Linked DNA regions of Medicago truncatula. The protein of the gene in region 2 interacts with the protein of the main gene of each other region in a pairwise test. Links are inferred from orthologs where the notes say so. Each region holds a gene or a part of one and is shown on either strand. Other genes may lie near its edges.

The links.
Region 1: the proteins of transcription factor PIF3 (region 2) and transcription factor PIF4 interact in binary tests that used the Arabidopsis thaliana proteins (3 or more experiments, as listed by UniProt). The link is inferred for Medicago truncatula from reciprocal best matches to the Arabidopsis thaliana genes PIF3 and PIF4.

What each region holds. Positions count from the first base shown.
Region 1 is NC_053044.1:18,763,337-18,772,947, forward strand, and holds transcription factor PIF4, read left to right. Parts: upstream 1-5,093; 5' UTR 5,094-5,284; intron 5,285-5,962; 5' UTR 5,963-5,995; coding exon 5,996-6,069; coding exon of another isoform or gene 6,070-6,071; intron 6,072-6,175; coding exon 6,176-6,977; intron 6,978-7,070; coding exon 7,071-7,169; intron 7,170-7,253; coding exon 7,254-7,319; intron 7,320-7,493; coding exon 7,494-7,559; intron 7,560-7,643; coding exon 7,644-7,940; intron 7,941-8,045; exon of another isoform or gene 8,046-8,158; intron 8,159-8,415; coding exon 8,416-8,542; intron 8,543-8,902; coding exon 8,903-8,907; coding exon of another isoform or gene 8,908-8,911; 3' UTR 8,912-9,134; downstream 9,135-9,611. Other genes in the region: uncharacterized protein, read left to right, coding at 1-226, 331-489. UniProt on the Arabidopsis thaliana protein: Transcription factor acting negatively in the phytochrome B signaling pathway. May regulate the expression of a subset of genes involved in cell expansion by binding to the G-box motif.
Region 2 is NC_053042.1:41,801,231-41,810,800, reverse strand, and holds transcription factor PIF3, read right to left. Parts: upstream 4,471-9,570; 5' UTR 4,346-4,470; exon of another isoform or gene 4,009-4,345; intron 3,787-4,008; 5' UTR 3,622-3,786; coding exon 3,536-3,621; intron 3,399-3,535; coding exon 2,156-3,398; intron 2,072-2,155; coding exon 1,967-2,071; intron 1,856-1,966; coding exon 1,790-1,855; intron 1,390-1,789; coding exon 1,324-1,389; intron 1,236-1,323; coding exon 717-1,235; intron 560-716; coding exon 479-559; 3' UTR 476-478; intron 356-475; 3' UTR 4-355; downstream 1-3.

The DNA.
Region 1 (9,611 bases), on a different chromosome or scaffold from region 2:
GGGGAAATTTGCAATGGTTTTGAAGGACATGTTTGGGAAGGTTATCAAGCCTTCTGTGTTTGTTCCTCCGATGCATTTTGTTGTCGACAGAATAAATGTTGCACCAACATTCAACAATAATCTGCCTCCTTTGACTGCTAACCTTTCATTTCGCCATGACAACAACAATTTTGCTGTTAATATGATGAAAAAACTAACTGAAAATGATGTTTCTAAGGGGTTTTTGGTAGGTCGTATGGTTTGTTTATTTTTGTTTTAATCAGTTTTCATCTTTATAATTTACATGTCCCTGATCCTAATTACTGTACGTGATGTTCGCTTTAAATGAAGGTGTTGCATTTTGGACATTTTGTGGATCAAGCTTTTGACAAGGCTAGAACAAACTTGAAGTTGCTTGATGAGTGTGGAAATTCGTGGCAATGTGTCTTGGTTTTTGCTTCTGCATCATATGGGCAATGTGTCTTGGTTTTTGATGTAAATGTCACGTGATGTATAAGAAATACAAACTTCACCATCTTATTACTATACTATTATCTAGCTAGCCTTCATATATAATATTTAAGAAGAGAGATTACAAATATATTTATGTTCTAATTTGTATTTTTGCCTGTCTTAATTTTTATCTTTTTCAATTATCTAAAGTCTTATTATATTATCGAATGCCATACAGCTTATAAGACCCGTGCGGCGCACGGGTCATCAATCTAGTTCAAATATATCTTAGAGCTTCCTCCTATCACTAGTTTATAAAAGGATAAACACCATAGTTTACACCAATAGTTGGTATTATGAGAAGAAAAATGCTTGCAAGTCTGCTGCCAAAGCACATTCATTACACTGGCTTTCAGACACTTGCCACAAGAATGAAGAAGATAAGAGATAATGAACCGTAATTTTCAATTTGAGGATATATGATGGAAGAGGATGAGATGAAGTTTGTTGGAACAATAGTCAAAATTAGTTAAAAAAAATAATTTTGTCACCGAAGATATTAGTAGGCTGATTCGCGGACTAGGTCGCTCTTTTTAAGACGTTTCATGACACTGTCCAAAATTGTGAAAGAAGAATATCAACCACGATGTCCCCAGGATAAAACAACCCAGCTACAACTGTATCAAAGTCCTATTGCACTATAGGATCTGTTCTAGAAATACACCTTCAAATATGGTGCTAAGACCACTCTAATATGATATTGATACCACTCTATTATGGTACTAGGACCATTATATGGTACTAGGACCATTCTTATATGGTACTAAGATCATTCTTATATGGTGTTTCCGCCACTCTAACCTCTAACTTTTTCTCCTAGGGCATAAAACATAAAAAGGGATTATATTCTTAAGATCATTCTTATTTTTCGAAGGGACACTTTATCTTGAAAGGGACTATGTTCTTAAGACCATTCTTAATTCCGAAGGGACATTTTAAACCGAATAGACTATGACCTTAAGAACACTCTTTAAATCCGAAGGGACAAAAAAAGAGGAAGAGAAAAAGAATAGCTCGTCAACACAAGCTAAAGGAGGGAGAAGAGAGAAAAATTATTTGACAACTCAAGAGAACTTTTGGGGAGAATAGAAGTGAGGGAGAGGAGCTCTACTTATAGGTGAAAAGCCAAAGATGAATTACAAATCCAATGACTATGATTAGTTGACCGTTAAAAAATCAATGGCTTGATCTCGCCTCATAAATGAATACTAATATTGAGAAAGTTTACATGAGAATTTGTTTTAATCGACACCGTAACACTCCATATGTTCCAACAAAGTTAAATTTAGAAAGGTAACAATCAAATCCACGCTGGTTGCCACCTATTATTTTTTAACTTTTTTTATAACTCCTATGTAATGTTGGAGGCTAGTATGCTACCTAGTAAAAAAGATAAATACTAAAACAGATAAAAAAAATAAAGAACTAAAACAAATATTTGTTTTTAACAAGTCAAAATGAATTATATTAACACTGACAGTGCAATCGCTTCAGCACAAGGCGTGCCAAAACAATCACGAAAAGTATAATAGGTCTGTTAAAACTACATAAAAAGCTAGTTGTTGCCAAATACATAAGTGGAATCGACCACTACAAATGAGTACCGAGAACAAAGGTAGCATTACTAGCTTTCAACCACCACAAAGAGTATGATTTATTTTATCTAACAGAAGTGGAATAAAGCTTTGTTGGTTCTTAAATTACATGTTATTTCGTTCGTTCCACAAGACCCAAACGCACAAGAGCCATATCAGATGAAAAATGGATCGCCGTGATTTCAGACCACCTACATAATTAATAAATTGCAAGATATGATCTGAAATAACATGAGAGTCCGCTCCATCAAATCCAAGCTACACCCGCACCAATTATTAGATAAAGGATAAATAATCTCACAAATAGACGATGAGATTGAATCTTTAAGATTAGTCAATCAACGGATAGGAGACCAGAGTTAAAAAAAATATATAAAAAATACTTAAACCTATAATATATTAATATATTTGTTGTATGCCCTTTGAGATACTCCTCCAATTGAGTGCTGTACAACAGTACTCATGAAAAATGGCAAACCTATGTTAGGTCTATTAGTTTCGCATCAAAGCAATATCTTCCAACTTGCAAGTACAGTACCACATAAGAATTTTTTTCAACTTTATTATTAAGTGACATAAGAATTTCATAATAATAATCTAATTACAACAATGCACATGTGGAAATTCTATGTCTTGCAAAAGTAAGAGAATACAATAATAAAATAAAGAGATAGGTTGATAGTGTTTGATAATTTGGAGGAGCATGAGGGCCACGTCTTTTCTCCGACATTGATGTCCCTTATCATTTCTCCAATAGAAAAACACAGCTTGTCACTGCCAAGTGGCATCATCCTCCATCCAATTTGAGATAGCACCCACCATGTGCTTTGAGTTTTAGATTTCCTTCTGCTTTAAATAATCAACAACCAATATCCAGATAAGCAAATAAATTTTCCATATCCAATTATTGTAAACTTTAAATTTATTATTAACGGTTCCCGTGAACATAATTCAGTTGGCAGAGACATTCATTATTATATGTAGGGGTTTGGGTTTGAACCTCGAACACTCCACTTATTCACTTTAAAAAAAGTGAATTCTAGCTATTAGACTACTTAAAAAAAATCATTATTAACAAGCAGAGGATTATGTGTAAGCATTTTTATTGATATAAAATCTGAACCTTTGTTCATAAATATAATATAATTATATAATTATTTACTAACAAGATCACATTTATGGATTGCACTTGTGACCTAATGTCACAAGTATAATTTTTTAAACATAAAAATATATGAAAAAGTAGAAAAAATAGTTGAATTAATTTATGTGTCATAATTAGATTGGTTAATGTTAATGTCAACTTTAAACGAGAGATTAAAAGTGAAGATAAATTATTTATATGTATCCAGAAATACTCAATTATTGTGGTTTGGTTTGTTTAATTTGGTTTTGAAAAAGTGATTTAAAATCTTACCTAAAGAGTCTTTTACAAAACATTATTTAAATGCATCCAGAAATACTCAATTATTTATATGTATCGCTCTTTTAGATCGGTTTGCAATTTTATTTTGGATTAGGTTGATAGTGAACACCCTTAATCTTAAGGACATTAATTAAGGGAGATAAAAAAGTAATAATTTTATGTGAAATAAAACAATTTTAAAAGTTTAAAAATAGAATTGGGTGAGGAGGACGGGAGATTGAAGGAGGGGGGACGGTGCATCTTTAGATGGTGGAGGACAGATTCTGATGTTCGAGGGGGCGTGGGATTGGGTGTCGGGAGTTGGTTCGACGACAACACACGTCGGGTTGTGGAAAATGGTAGTAGTACTTACTTCTGGACAGATAATTGGGTTGGCGGTGTTCCTTTACGGGATAAATACCGCATGCTATTTGATATGGCCGTGAGGCGAGGGAGTACGGTGGCGGAAATGGCGACCTTAGGTTGGGAGGTAGGAGGAGGAGCTTGGGTGTGGAGAAGACGCCTTTTAGCGTGGGAGGAGGAAGAGGTGAGGGAGTTTTCTGCTTTATTATCTAACATTGTTTTGCAGGAGCGTACTAATGATAAGTGGAAGTGGTTGTTAGACCCCATCCATGGCTATTCGGTGCATGGAGCTTATCAGTACCTCACATCTGCAGATGAGCCTACGGATAGGCACAACCTATCCAATGTTTGGCAACGACAAGTACCTCTAAAAGTTTCACTCTTTGGGTGGCGGCTACTGTGCAATATTCTTCCAACAAAGGACAATGTTCGGTGTCGGCATGTCATTACATCAGATAATACTTTGTGTGCCGATGGTTGTGGCTCTCAAGAGACGGCGAAGCATATTTCTTTTGGCTGTGCGACTCTGGGATGTGTATGACATCTTGTTTGGGAGTGGTTACAACTTATGTCGGTGTCTCCTTTATCACTTAATGTTCACTTTCTTCAGTTTAGTCATATATGGTGGCCATGTCGCAATCATCTCATTCGTTCTTCAAAATAATTTGGTTGCATGTATCTGGGTCATTTGGAAGGAGAGGAACAGTCAGGTTTTCAACAATAAGGCGGATGATCCTCATCATTCTCGACATGGTCAAACATACTTCTTTTTGGTGGTTAAAGGCGCATTTGTTTACCTTTGCATTTGACTATCATGATGGGTGGCGAAACCCTATGTCATGCATGGGTGTTTTTGTGTAATTATATCATTATTATTACGTCCATAGGATGGTGCTCCCTTGATATTGCACCAATGACTTTGTAACTTTGAGTGTTTCATCCGTTACACACCTTACGCGTGGTGTTTCACTCCCGTTTTAATTTCATGTTCCATTTTGGCTTATTAAAAAAAAAAAAAAAAAGAATTCACCACTCTAGCACATATTAATTTTCCTTTCTTAGAAGTTAGAACAATCTATATCATTTTCCTTTACAATTGATTTTACCATGTGATTTATTTTCCTTTTCAACTGATTTTACCATGTGATTTATTTTACTCTACAATTGATATTACCATGGGATTTCATCTCTCTCTCTCTCTATATATCTAAATGTGCTGATGTCAGTATCTTTCTTGTTGTTAAAACCTCTTGTTCATACTTTGTTCTCACACTTTCCAAAGCATAAGGACACACTCAAAGAGAACCAAACACAGAAGAAAAAGCAGGAACAAACAAGGAGCTTCTCTGTCAAGCTTCCAGCTACTTTCTACATCAGCAAGTCAGAAACAAAGGAGAAAAGAAACTAAAATCTATTTTGCTCAGTTTAGGTGAACTTCTTCTTTTATAATCCTTATCTAAATCTAAATGTGAGTGTTATAAATAATGGTCATAAAAATTATTAAATTTTCATACTTCTCTCTACTTCATGTTTTTCATTTATCAAATTAAATAAAGTACTATAAAGTGATTCATCAATCATTTCTTTGCTTATTTGCTTTCTTATTTTCTTCTTTTTTAGGAAATTGTTTTTCTGTGTCTGTGATAATATGCAATCTTTATGTAAGATAGCTGTCTCAAATTTTGCCTAATTTGTTGTGTTTAATGTTTTGTTATAAATTTTATTTTATGATCTTTCTCTTCTGGGCTTATGAATGTACATGTACTTTCAATAGTAATTGAGTGTTGATTTTTCCAATTTTGGGACTCTTGAAATTGGAATTCTTTGTTCAGAATAGAAAAAAAATACTTTAGTTTCATTTCATTGGTTAATTAATTCTCTTCTGTTAGTAAAGTTCCACACATGATCTAAACTCTTAAACCCTTTAAATTTTTTATTCCTTTTTTATCAATATAAAAATCTGTTTAATCTCATGCATATTTGATTATTCATTTAAATGGTCTTTACATAATATTTTATTCTTCTGCTTAATGGAGTCAAATTCTACTTAAAGGATCTTCATTTTTCTATTAAAAAAACTAATTTTCTTTCATTTTGGCGCAAACAGGTACTAGTTTGGTTCAGTTCGGTTCAGTTAGCGATGAACAACACCATTCCTGATTGGAATTTTGGGATTGATAGTTTTGTCACCAATCAAAAGAAGCAACCTATGGGGTTTGTGTTCAATATTTCATTATCAAAGCATAACAATATTATTGTCCAAATTAAATTTGATTAAAATATGAATAATTAATTATTAACCATGTGTTTAACATTACAGACTGGACCATGAACTTGTGGAGCTTCTATGGCAGAATGGTCAAGTAGTATTGAATAGCCAAACAAATAAGAAACAACTTGTGAATAACTCAAGACAAGTTCATAAGAATCTTCAATCAACAACTTTAAGCAACTTGATTCAAGATGATGAAACTGTTTCATGGATCCAACAATACCCTATTGAGGATCCACTTGAACAAGAATTATGTTCAAATCTTTTATCTGAACTTCCACCTTGTAATGTCGAGTCTTTCAATTCGCAACCGACGAATACAAAACCGCCTTTTGTTCAGGAATTTCCTATGTCGGCTCCGAGGTTTCATCACCTTGTTCCCGATTCATCGCAAAGAAACAATGATTTGTGTGGATCCAGCAAGGTTGTAAACTTTTCTCACTTTTCAAGACATCCCAATGTTACTTTAGCATCTACTAACGGCGATGCAAATTTAAGAGACAAAATTACGGGTAATCTGTCACAATGTGATGTTAGAGAGTGTTCGACGATGACAGTCGGTTCAAGTTATTGCGGAAGCAACCAAGTCCAACAAGATCCAGATGTAAGCAGAGTTTCAAGCAATGGTGTTTGGACTAATTTATCGACCGAGCCTGAACAAGTCAGAAATGATGTTCAGAAGACAATTCCTCGGCATGAGAATGGGAAATCGGAGAAGTTGGAACCTGCTTTTACTTCATCTTCTGGTGGTTCGGGAAGTAGTCTTGGAAAAACTTGTTCTTTATCTACAAGAAGTCATGACAAAAAGAGGAAAGTGATGGATGTTGAAGATTCAGTCGAACAAAGCGAGGTAAAACTGCGCCCTCTATCTTTTTACCTTCATAATTAGATGTTTTTCATTAATTGATACACTGAGTTATGATTTTATGGTTTGTGTTAATAGGATACAGAACTTAAATCAGGCGTGAGGAAAAAGACGTCTCAGCGATCAGGGTCGGCTCGTAGGAACCGCGCTGCTGAAGTGCATAATCTTTCAGAAAGGGTAAGGGTTTGACACTTCTCTAGATAGACTGAAGTTTTCTAAAATTTTGCGCTTACAAGAAGTGTTATTGATTTATTGATGCAGAGGCGAAGAGATAGGATTAATGAGAAGATGAAAGCATTGCAACAACTCATACCTCACAGTAGTAAGGTTTGTCATCAAACCATGTTTTTTTTTATAGGAAATTGCTAGTGGTTAATTTTTTAAGGCAACAAAGAATTTGTTAGTATCAGGTATTGAACCCTGAATACGCGTCAATATAATCTTGTATAGAAAACGATCGATTTTCCATTCTGTATACTGAGTAAGTGATATATATTGCAGACGGACAAAGCATCAATGTTAGAAGAGGCAATTGAATACTTGAAATCACTTCAGTTACAACTTCAGGTATATATTATGTGCCATACAATAATATCTTGCATATGAAAATCGCCTCGCATTGCTAAAGAATTTTTTTGATCTTTCTGTTAGGTAATGTGGATGGGATCTGGCATGACACCAATGATGCTACCGGGATATCAGCACTATATGTCACAAATGGGTATGGGAATGACTACGCCTTCGTTTCCTCCACTTCAAAATCCAATGCAATTACCGAGAATGCCTCTGGATCTGTCCGTTTCTTCGTCACAGACGCCAAATCAGACATTAACGTGCCAAAATCCTGTTTTAGGTGCCTTCAACTACCAAAATCAGATGCAAAATCCTGCTCTTTCGGAGCAATATGCTCGTTACATGGGCTATCATCTTATGCAAAATGCTTCTCAGGTACTTAGGGTTTGTTTGGATTGATATGTTTTTTCTACTGACATAAACATCTGAGAGACTATTTACGAGATCCTATGGAAACAAGTAATATGACATGTCGGGTGCGATCATACCAGCACCAATCCACCGGATCCCATCAGAACTCCGCAGTTAAACGTGCTTGGGCGAGAGTAGTACTAGGATGAGTGACCTATTGGGAAGTCCTTGTGTTTAAAAACAAAGTTATTTGACATGTCTATAAGTTGTTTTCAGCTTATTTGCACAAGTTCTTCATGATAGTTTAAGAAAACAACTTATATCTTATATGAAAACAGTTTAACTTATACTTTCTCTTTTTGTTAGAATATAACTGTTTAGTTAAGTTATTTATCCAAACAGGGTCTAAATTTAAGATGCTCCCCTTATAACTTAATGATATTCTCATGTTTTACCTATGGAAATTAATTTTACCTTGTATGTTGGTACTATTTTGTAGCCAATGAATATGTACAGATATGGTCCCCAAGCTGTACAAAATAGTCAAACAATGATTCCACCAAGCAATAGCAGTGGACCAATGAGTGGAACAGCAAACATTAATGATGCTGTGAGTGGCAAAATGGGTAGGCCAATACATAGCCTCTAATATTGTTCTCATATTATATGCTATATAAAGACATATCATTAAAAGTTTCATGATTTTTTTTTTCATTTTCTATTTAAAGGGTGATTCTAACTGATGCCCCGGATATTGGTTAAACATGCTAAAAAAGGAAATTATTATCATAAAAAAAAACATTTTTTACTTTTGTAGTATTAATTACACATTTTTAATGCAATAACTATTATCTAATTTCCTTTTTTATCATCCTTAACCGTGTTCTGTAGGTACCGGTTAGCATTTCCTTATATATCTAAAACTTACTAAAATTGTTACTTTTTTGAAGGACTAAAATTTTTACTTGCTGTCATTTTGTTTACAGGTTAATTAGTTTAGAGGAATTCCTAGAAGAACCAGCAACAAAAATATGTCTGCCAGCTCAACTATAAATATATGTATGTAGATAATATAGTTCACTTGATTTATATACAAGTGACTTATTTTTTGGATCTGTTGAAAATCTCAGATTAAATGAGATATGATTTAAAAATATGTTTATAAATAGAGGCAATTAGGTCCGACCTAAATTTTAAGTTGATCTATTGGTTGTGGTTGTACAATAATGTCCAAATAAAAACAGAAGCAACAATAAAAAGGGTCTAAATGTGAAATAAAAGGAAAGAATCAATACCTTCATTGAAATTCTATAACAATAAAGAAATTGTTTTTTTTTTTTTTTAAAAATAGCTACAATTAAAAATATTAAGAAAATGTTATATTACCATTCTTTCCTTGAACTCTTGTTAAAAGTAATAAAGTTGGTCTTCACATCATGCATTGTTACTAAATCAATCCATCAGACACTGATATATGAAAGGGCCACCTTCTACATGTTAAATGGAACATAAAACAAAAGTTAAATGTGTTTTTGTATCTATAAAGTTACCAAATTTTAAAGTTTAGCCCCTACATAAATTTTATTCAATTTTAATTGTTATTTTGATACTTCTATAAATAAAAATAGTGTTAACCCATTTGGGTTGGCCTGGTGGTATTGGCTTGGGATCTGGGAGTGTACTCTTCTTTGAGGT
Region 2 (9,570 bases):
AGATTGCCAAGGAAAATAAATTATTATTTCATTAATCCAAAGAATCACTATGAAAGATCTGAATAAGGCATCTGATTATTGCGCATTCAAATCATTTGAATGCATAATGTTGAAGATATATAAGTGGATGTACAAATGAGTGACATGCCCCAAGATACCAAAATCTGTGCAATTTTCTAGTTTCGGAAACTAGAATTCCCATGGCTATTTTGACGGGAAAACCTTGATGACTTCGAAATATCCTCTTCAGTAATCTGGTTTGAACTTGCAAAGATGAGAAACAACATTTTGGACTCAATTTCTGAAAACCCGATTCTTCTACTAGCCACAATCAATGCGGAGTATCAATCATAACCTGCCGGTACAACTCAAACAATAAGTTTTTTGTTCAATAATGAAATTCCTCTATGATTTATGTCAAAGTAAACGATGAATTTGAGTGAAACTCCTACTGATACATGTTCACAATACTTACCAATCACAAAGTGATATTGCCAGGATTAGCAGCTTCACTGTCATCAGCCACTGAAGTATGGCCACCATTATGTACCAAAGTTGACTGTTTAAATCCAACAAGTTGTTAGTTCACACACACTAGTATAACAGAAAAGGGGAACATAAACATCAAGCGTAAGAATAACAGAAAATTATTACGGAAACAATGTTTTAACTAATGTGAAAATTGATCACAGAGACCTGGTTAGGGATAAACAGACCTGGTTAGGGATCTGGCTTGTAGAGTCACGACCAGCAGTGTTTTGCTTAATTTTTGAGTCCACATCTGGCCTTCGATCTTTTGAGCCACACGCTGAAGCCGGATTCACAGCTTCAACATGTCCTGTGGATCCATACACAGACGGACCCGGAGCGGATGAGTTCATAAGAGGCCCTCCTGAAAAAGGGAATACCGGAGTATGCGGCATTGGCATGGAAGTTCCCTGTCCCGGAAGTACAAACCCTTGAGTATTCGATCTGGCCATTCCATGCATAGCAGAGGGTCCAGGCATATGCGCAACGGGCACATGATTTCCTTGCATCTGAGGTACTTGAATCATTGGAAATCTAGACGGCACGCCGTTCATGTCAGGCATTCCCATTCCATAACCCATACCTAACCCCATATGCATGCCGATGCCCGTCTGTGAAAATGCGGCCATGTGTGGTGCATGCATGTGCTGCATTCCAGCAGGTAACATCATTTGAGGCATATATAAACCAGCTCCCATTGACATCATCTGCGTAAGATAGGAATCACTCTCAACATCGTTTATAATCAGAAAATTTAAAACTAAAATATTAATGCCGAGGGGGAACGATATTTACTTGAACTTGGAGCTGAAGTGTTTTTAGATACTCAATTGCCTCATCCAGCATAGAAGCTTTATCCACCTAGTCCGTATGAAGTCAGAAAAGCCGAAATAAATAAGGAATTAAGTATGCATACATGTAGAAAGTATTTTAATAGTTTGTATTGAACTTTTGACATTTTTTTTTTTTTTGAACAAGCCAAAATGGAATTTCTGACATTTTTATTATGAATATTGAATACACTTCATGAATACGGTAAATGATTGACTCCAAGTTTGATATTTGTTGCTGTAAATTTTAACTTCCAATAATTTCATAAATCTTCTGCACTAAAAAAGAACAAGCTTCTGTAACTAGCTAAGTTTGGATCCATAGTGGCAACCAATATTCTATATTTGTCAAAAACAACAAATGAAGTCCATAATTTTATACAGTTTTTCAGGTATCTAAGAAGAGCAAAATCAGAAGGAAAAAAACTAACCTTATTGCAATTAGGTATGAGTTCTTGCAATGCACGCATCTTCTCATTTATCCTGTCTCTTCGCCTCTGTATACATAAATTATGATCATCAGCCAAAATGGAAATAAAATAAGCTTGAGGAAAAATATGTGTGGTTACAAAGTTAACATGACACAAATAACAGATGGCCTTACTCACCCTTTCAGATAGATTATGCACTTCAGCAGCACGGCTTCTTTTGGAACCTGCAACTCCTCGTCCAGCCGCTCCCTTTTTAACTCCCACTGATTCATCCTCAACATCCTTCAATCAAAGTGTTTTCTTGGTTTATAGAGGGAAATTATAAATTAAGAAAACAATGTAAAAATATCTATATTATTAACTTACTTCACTATGGCATTCAGAGTCCTCAGTGTCTCTACTTTTCCGTTTTAAATCTCGATTTGGATCATCCGAGCCTCTGTCTGCACCATTGCCAGAGCAAACAGAAGAAGAGGCTACTGCCACCTCCATGCCTTTGTCAGCAGCTGCGTGTCCTTTAGCGCCATTGTCACCAAGAACTTGAATGGAAGGTTGATCATTCTTAATTCCATTCTCTTTGCAAGCAGGCTTCGATTGTTTAGTAGCTACAGCATTCGGTTCAAGCGATTTCGGCTGCAAAGGTTTCAAATCAGCCTTGGATGGCTCTACCACCTTATGACAACGCATTTCCGGTTCCTTTGAACACTCACCGCTTGGATTAACAAGAGCTGAATCAGGAGGATTGCTGCTAGTCGAAGCAGCGCCTTTATTCTTAACTCCCATAATATCTGATCTTGCTGAAGCTGAATTCAAACCAGACTTCAAGCCAATGTTCTGAAGATTAGCTCTCACAATAGCTGCAGGCCTTGCAAAATGGGAAAAATTCATTACATTGGAACCATTGCCAGGCATTACAGGATCTTGCTTCTGCGCTTTTAAGCTAGAAAAATCGCTCGAGGAAGATGGAATGCGAGTAATATCCCCATAAGGCACGTCCTGGTTACCACTACTAACATTATTATTTTCGGTTATATCTGATGCCCTAGATCTAACAGTTACAGATGTTGTTTGACATTGATTTGATGATGGGGGATATAACTGACTGGCACTAGCTTTATGTCTTGCAGTCTCAACAACCTGTTCAGCTGAAGAACCCTTGGAAACATTCATCGCTTCTGCAGAATTTTTATGAGAGTCCCTAAATATCTGATTCCCATTATTCCTTTTATCCAATAGAGTAAAACTATTCGAGGCAGGAAGGTCATTCTCCGTGAGTTCATGAAAGAAATCAGAACCATATTCGTGTTGCAAAGAGCCATCCATTGAATAATCCAACCAAGGCATCATTTCATCCACTTCGCGAGATGGCACCGACATTGGAATCTCATTCAATCCAGAGTCTAAATCACCAAACTTTCCTATCTTTGGATTGTTGTTACTAAATCCTCCTCCTACGTCTTTATCTTTATCTCGACCTCTAGGACTATGAGATGGTAAACAGTGAGATGGCAAACTCCTACAAGATGGACTCTTTCTACCTCTACTTGATTGACCTTGGCTTGAAATCTGACCACTCTCCCAAACCAGCTCAAAAAAATCATTCTCAGGCCTACACATTCAAATCAAATCCAAAACAAACAAAACTAAGAGAAAAAAAAACATAAACAAAAGAAACCATTTCATTTCATCAAACACATCAAAAAAGTTAATAACACAAGTTACAAAAGCTTATGTTAATGAACTTACGACGAAGGTTGATCTGCTACACTTGTGCCGTTAGTCTCATTATCAAGCTTCTCTCTGGCCAAACGGTATAACTCATAAAGAGGCATGATGAATGAATGAATCAAAAGCTCAACAGAACCAAAACCTCAGCTAAAAAACCACAAATCAAAAAACCAAAGCTCTTAGTATTAGCATTGCTTCCAACATATTCTTGTGTGTTATCTTTTCCACCTTTGGAATCCAAATGAAGTTTGAAGACAAAGCAGAAATACCTGACGTAAGCCACAATAAACTATGAGTGAGATAATCATATCAATCTCTATTCAATTTAAAATGAAACAAAAACAAGCTTGCATCAATGAAATTAAAAAAAAAAAAAATCTTTTTTTAATACCCAAAAAAGTCTTTATCAATGAATTAACAAAAGTTACAAAACTATAATACAAAATTAAGTTAATAAAACAACATCAGTCAAACAAATTCTTTATACTAACCTTGTCAAGTAAAGTAAGTGACTTTAATCCAATCTTAATTTTTTAATCTTAAAATTAAGCACTAATCAGCATTTAAGTCGGTTAACAAAAATTCCACTGAATACAGTGACACTGATTCTCGGCTGAGATCAAGGAAAATCTATGTAACTCCAATGACCCAGTTATCATTTTTCAACTGGGTAATCAAAAAGTTTCAAAATTTCATGAAAACTTTAGCTTAATCACACAACAAGAAGGTTTTTTTGATATTCCAAATGCAACTCAGAAGTTATCAAAAAAGCAATCTTTGAAGCTTGAAGAAAGAGAAAATGCACTATTTAAGAAGTTCGGGAATGACCCAAATGGACGAAGAAGGCGGCGAAAGATTTGCAGAGTTTGAAGAAAACCAATGCAGTGACACACGCACACAACTGGGAAGACAAAAACAGAGAAAAAAAAGGTTTCTATTCTAAACCATGGTTAATGTCTGGTTAAGTTTTGTTTCTTCTTTATTCATTTTTGGATCAATTTTTTTTTTTTTTTAAACCACTTTCTCTCTCTATCATTTAATTATTTCTAGGATTATTTGGACATATAAATAGAAGACAAGCGAGCACCAAATTGTAATCATTTAATTATTTATAGGATTATATGCACATATCAATAGAAGACAAACGAGCAACAAGTTGTACCGTTGGGTCTTTTTGGATAAATATAATATTTATGGACCTATGAGACATGACATTACTATGCACGAATGTTTAAACTCAATATAGAATGTCAACATCCTCTGGTGCTAGGAAGCCGAAAGTGTAAAAAAATAATAATGTAAAAACACGTTGATTGTCAGAACACCTTTCTCGTATTTGACCATTTTGCTTGACACAACTTTTAGGGCTGTCTGTCTTACTGTAAAAGCCTTGGCCCCTAATCCCACAAGTGGTGAAACCTCAATCAAGTCCACGCATGCATGTTTTCCTCCTGTCCATATGTACATCATAACATCCGCAGGCCTAAGTGTCGATTTTCTATCTAATGGGTCGGTCAGAAAGTTCAAAAGCGTCTCCTTCTTCACTTATACTCCCGCCCGCCTAAATACATCAAAAAGGATATCCCTAACAAAGTTCACATATACTTAAAGTCGAGAAGCTCCTTACAATGAACGACATGCTCTATATTATCTTTTCTCTTCACTAAATTTAAATAAGTGGTTTCAAATAGATAAATTTTTCGTGTTTTTTCATGATTTCGTCGTTTACGTGTTGTGTTTTGTTGTTTGGAATCTTGTATGATGTTGACGTTTTTTCTTTTATTTCTCGCGTTATTGCGGTGCTTATTTGATTCATTTTGATTTTATTATATTATTCGTAAATAATCCACTGTTGTTGTATACTATTAATTGAATATTTTGTTAGGACTACAGATTAATTTTTTCTAAGGAAACTACTAATTAAGTATTGTAAGTTTATTTATAGATTCATCCATATTATTTTTAACGATTTTAAACTTGTGATGTATTCGATACACTTTACCAATTTATATTTATTGTTTTTTAAAGAAAATAATGATTTATTATTGTTTTTTAAGGGAAAAAAAAAAAACAAAGTTTTCTTAAACCTTTTCAAAATCCAACGGTTACCCTCCTTTTAAGCGAGTGAATCACACGCTGCTATTGCTGTCTGAGACTTTTTTGCCCTAAAGTGGGTGGGTAGGTTTGTTTCCCATAATAGTGTGTGAGACCATGGAGTGGACCATGGTAAGATGAGAGAGAAAATGTCCCTGTACTGTGTATTTAATTTATAAGTTCTTTTGTATATATTATCCTTGCAAATTGGGTGCATCCATAATGCAACACAACAAAATCATATCCATATCATTATAACTTGTTTGGACAGTGACACTCTTTAGTAGATAACCTTAAAAAAATACATAATTAAATTTCTTGGTTTGTTAATTGAAGTTTAAGACATTAATAAAGTCATTGACTTGATCATTATTTTTTTTGTATTAATTAAAATAAGCTTAATTGACAAAAGGAGCAATCTTATTTCCCTTCATTGTGGGAGAGACTTTGGTTTAAGGATAATTGAGTGGTGGCCTATGATATTTGGCAATGGCAACTTGGCATTGCAATCATGCTAGAGTGGTGTCCTTTTTCTGATTTTCTATGTTTTAAAACTTATGTGCGTCTTGGATTTGTTGTGACAAGGGTTTTGGAATAATGAGTCTTGGATTTGTTGTGACAAGGGTTTTGGCATAATTAATCAGTGTATGAGTTGTTTTTATGCGAGCTAATTAATCACTTAACTAAGTAGGTGTGCTTAAATAGTTAATGAACTTTTCATTAAAATAAAATCGTATGAAAGAATTTGAATTAAAACCCTAACTAAAACAAAATAATCAAATCATAATTTATTACTTACCTCGGACAGAAGTCTGAAATATCATACCTTCTTCTACTAAAAACTTGAGAAGAAGTCAACGAAAACGTGAACAATTAATAATAAAATCAAATGCACTATATGCATTAGAACAAATCAATTTTTTTTCATATACACTTAATTCACTTTATATGAGTTAAATTCTCAATCATTTGAAATCTAAAGAATTAAAGACAACTACTTTAATTAGTTGTAGTTTTCTTGAAAAAGTATTAATTAAGGCTCATTTGTCATCATCAGGTAGAATCTAACATGTTCCTAACAAAATAAACTATAGTTAGATTAACATGCGCGGTCCCCATATTTTATTGTCACTAAAATGTCCCCCATGACCTCTGTGTTTAATTAGGCAAATACAACATAGTATAATACGAGTAGAGGTTTTTATTGCCACTTTCTAAGAATGCATATATTTTATTAAGACACGGATTAGTTATGGGTCAACGAGATAATCTGCAAGGGATTGGATGTCTGCCTGTCTTTTAATTAAAAAGATAGTAGTGTGGAGTAGCAAATTGTGTATCCTCTTTTTCTAAGTAACTACGTCGATGATATCAAAGTTCTTTGATTTTTGTGTATTTTTATAATATGTGTGATTTGCAGTAGATAAATAAGATAGATAGATATATGGAGATAAATATATCCAATGTCTCATGTATTCTGATACAACTCAGTTGATAGGTAATGTCTTTTTATAGCCTAAAAGAAGTGCTACTTTAATAATAGTATTTAACCCTGCAGATTTTGGTTGACGCATAACCAATCTATGCCGTAATGAAATGCATTCTTAGAAAATGGCAAGTACAATAACTACTATACCTATACGTACTGTGTGCCGTCAAAAAAGATACTCCATACCGTGACAATAACTAAGTACATTATACCATTTTATTATAGGAACCAAGTACAATATTAGATATCATGTACTTAGTTGTAGTATTTGCCTTATTCAAGACAAATTAGGGAATGCATGAGCGACATTTTAGTGAAAATAAAGTAAAGGAACATCGTGTAATCCAACTTTGATTGGCTTAATGATGTGTTTCGTCCTTGCAACTATTTTTGTCCATTCTCATGCCATTTTGCTAATTTGATGACGTTACAGTGATTAAGTTGGTCAAAGGACGAAATTTTAAATGATTAAATAATGTAAGGGTAAATTGTCAGGATTAGCGATAACAGGGACTAATTTTTAAATGACGCCTAATTGCAAGGACGAAACACATCATTAAGCCTAGTTGATTTATATGATTAGAAACATATTAGATTCCACCATTAATGAATGTCTCACATTCCTCGATAGAAATTAGTTATTCTCGATAAAAATAGTTATCGATAGATGACGGTAGAAACTTCGTACCTATAACATAGTAAAAAATACATGTTAGATTCTACTCAATGACAAAATAGCTTTTACTTCTTAAAAGAAAAACCACAAATTAGTTTTTTTTTTTTTGTGTAAACCACGTATATCATATACGCGCAACTGCATAAACTAATCCCTCAATATGAATAGTAGTATAATGGGTGACAAAGCCCTCCCTCAATATATTTAACAATGTTGACGGGTGGTGGCGGTTAACGGGATTATTGATTTGACCCGTAATTATAAGAAAAGTGCCTTATTTTTAATGTTGATTTTGAAAAGGCTTATGACTTGGTAAGTTTAACTTTTCTCGAGTATATATGCTGAGGAGATTTGGTTTTGGGGAGAGGTTGTGAAGTTGGATTAGTGCTTGTGTTTTATGTAGGAACCTCTATGTGCTTGCTATTGGCAGCCCAACTGAAGAGATCAACATCCAAGGGGGTTGAAACAAGGGGATTCGTTGGCTCCATTTCTCTTCCTTCTCATGGTGGAGGGCCTAAGTGGGGATGTTAGGAGTGCGGAAGAACGTAATATATTCTCTAGGTTTAGGGTGGGTAATGTTGGTTTGTCTATGACTCACATACTATATGCAAATGATATATGTTCTTATTTGGGGGAAGCATTGGTTAGGAATATTTAGTCTTTGAAAAACATATCCTTGTGTGCTTCAAGCTTGCCTTATGGTTCAAGATCAACTTTTCTAAGAGTCGTGTGATGGGTGCAAATATTATTGATGATTTTATAGATTTGGCATAACGATTTCTCCATGGTAGACTAAGATTCTTGTCGTTCATCTATCTTGATCATTAAAAAATAAAATGGATTATGTCATTCTTTATAAACTTTGGTATATCCTCATCTTTTTGGTGTGAGACTTTTCTCAATACAAAATATATATTAATAAAAAAGCAGCGTAATATATATATATATATATATTTTATAAATGCTAGATATTCATAGAATGATAAGTCTCATTTACAACGCATGGAGCATGCACTGCCTGCAGCACTATATATCTTCTATTTGACTGTTTAGCCTTTGAGGAGCCAACATTCCAAAACGAATATTTTATATTTGGGGAGCCAAAGGAATACTCTGCAAAATAAATAGAGATTAAAGCTAAGCTCATGGTGTGGACCCGACCGAGCTAGACATGGGAAATGCCCAACGTCCACTTGGACCCTTCCTGACCTGGTTAAGGGACTTGGCTGCATTCATGTGGACCTCACTTCCTATCTTTTTTGTGGTGGATGCATGTTCCATAGTTACAATATAAGCGTTAAATATTGTACTAGGATTAGTGTATATATGAGAGAAAGGAACGAGTCAAGAGTTTGCGGTGCAGATAACCATTGGTTAGATTGGAGAGTGATGGTTTTTCTAACTCATTAATAGATTTGAAATATATGCTTTGAATCAACAAACTACTGTCATTGTCCTAAATACAAGACAAAATTTGATCATAAAATATTAATATATTTAATTCAAATTTTAAACTAAATACATTAACTTTTATTTACTTAACTTTCGTTTTATATTTAAGACTAGAGAAAATGTTTGTAATAAGGTGCATGGTTGGTAAGTTCGGCAGACAGTTTAGTTAAAGGAACAAGAAGAGTGTCATAGGTTCAACTCTCCCCTAACAAACTAACAAATTAGATGATACATACTTATCTAACAATATTTTTTTTAAAAAAAATATTTAATCAAATGTAGAGACTATTCTTCAATAGAGCGTAAAATATAAAGACTAAAAACATATTTAACCCTAATTTG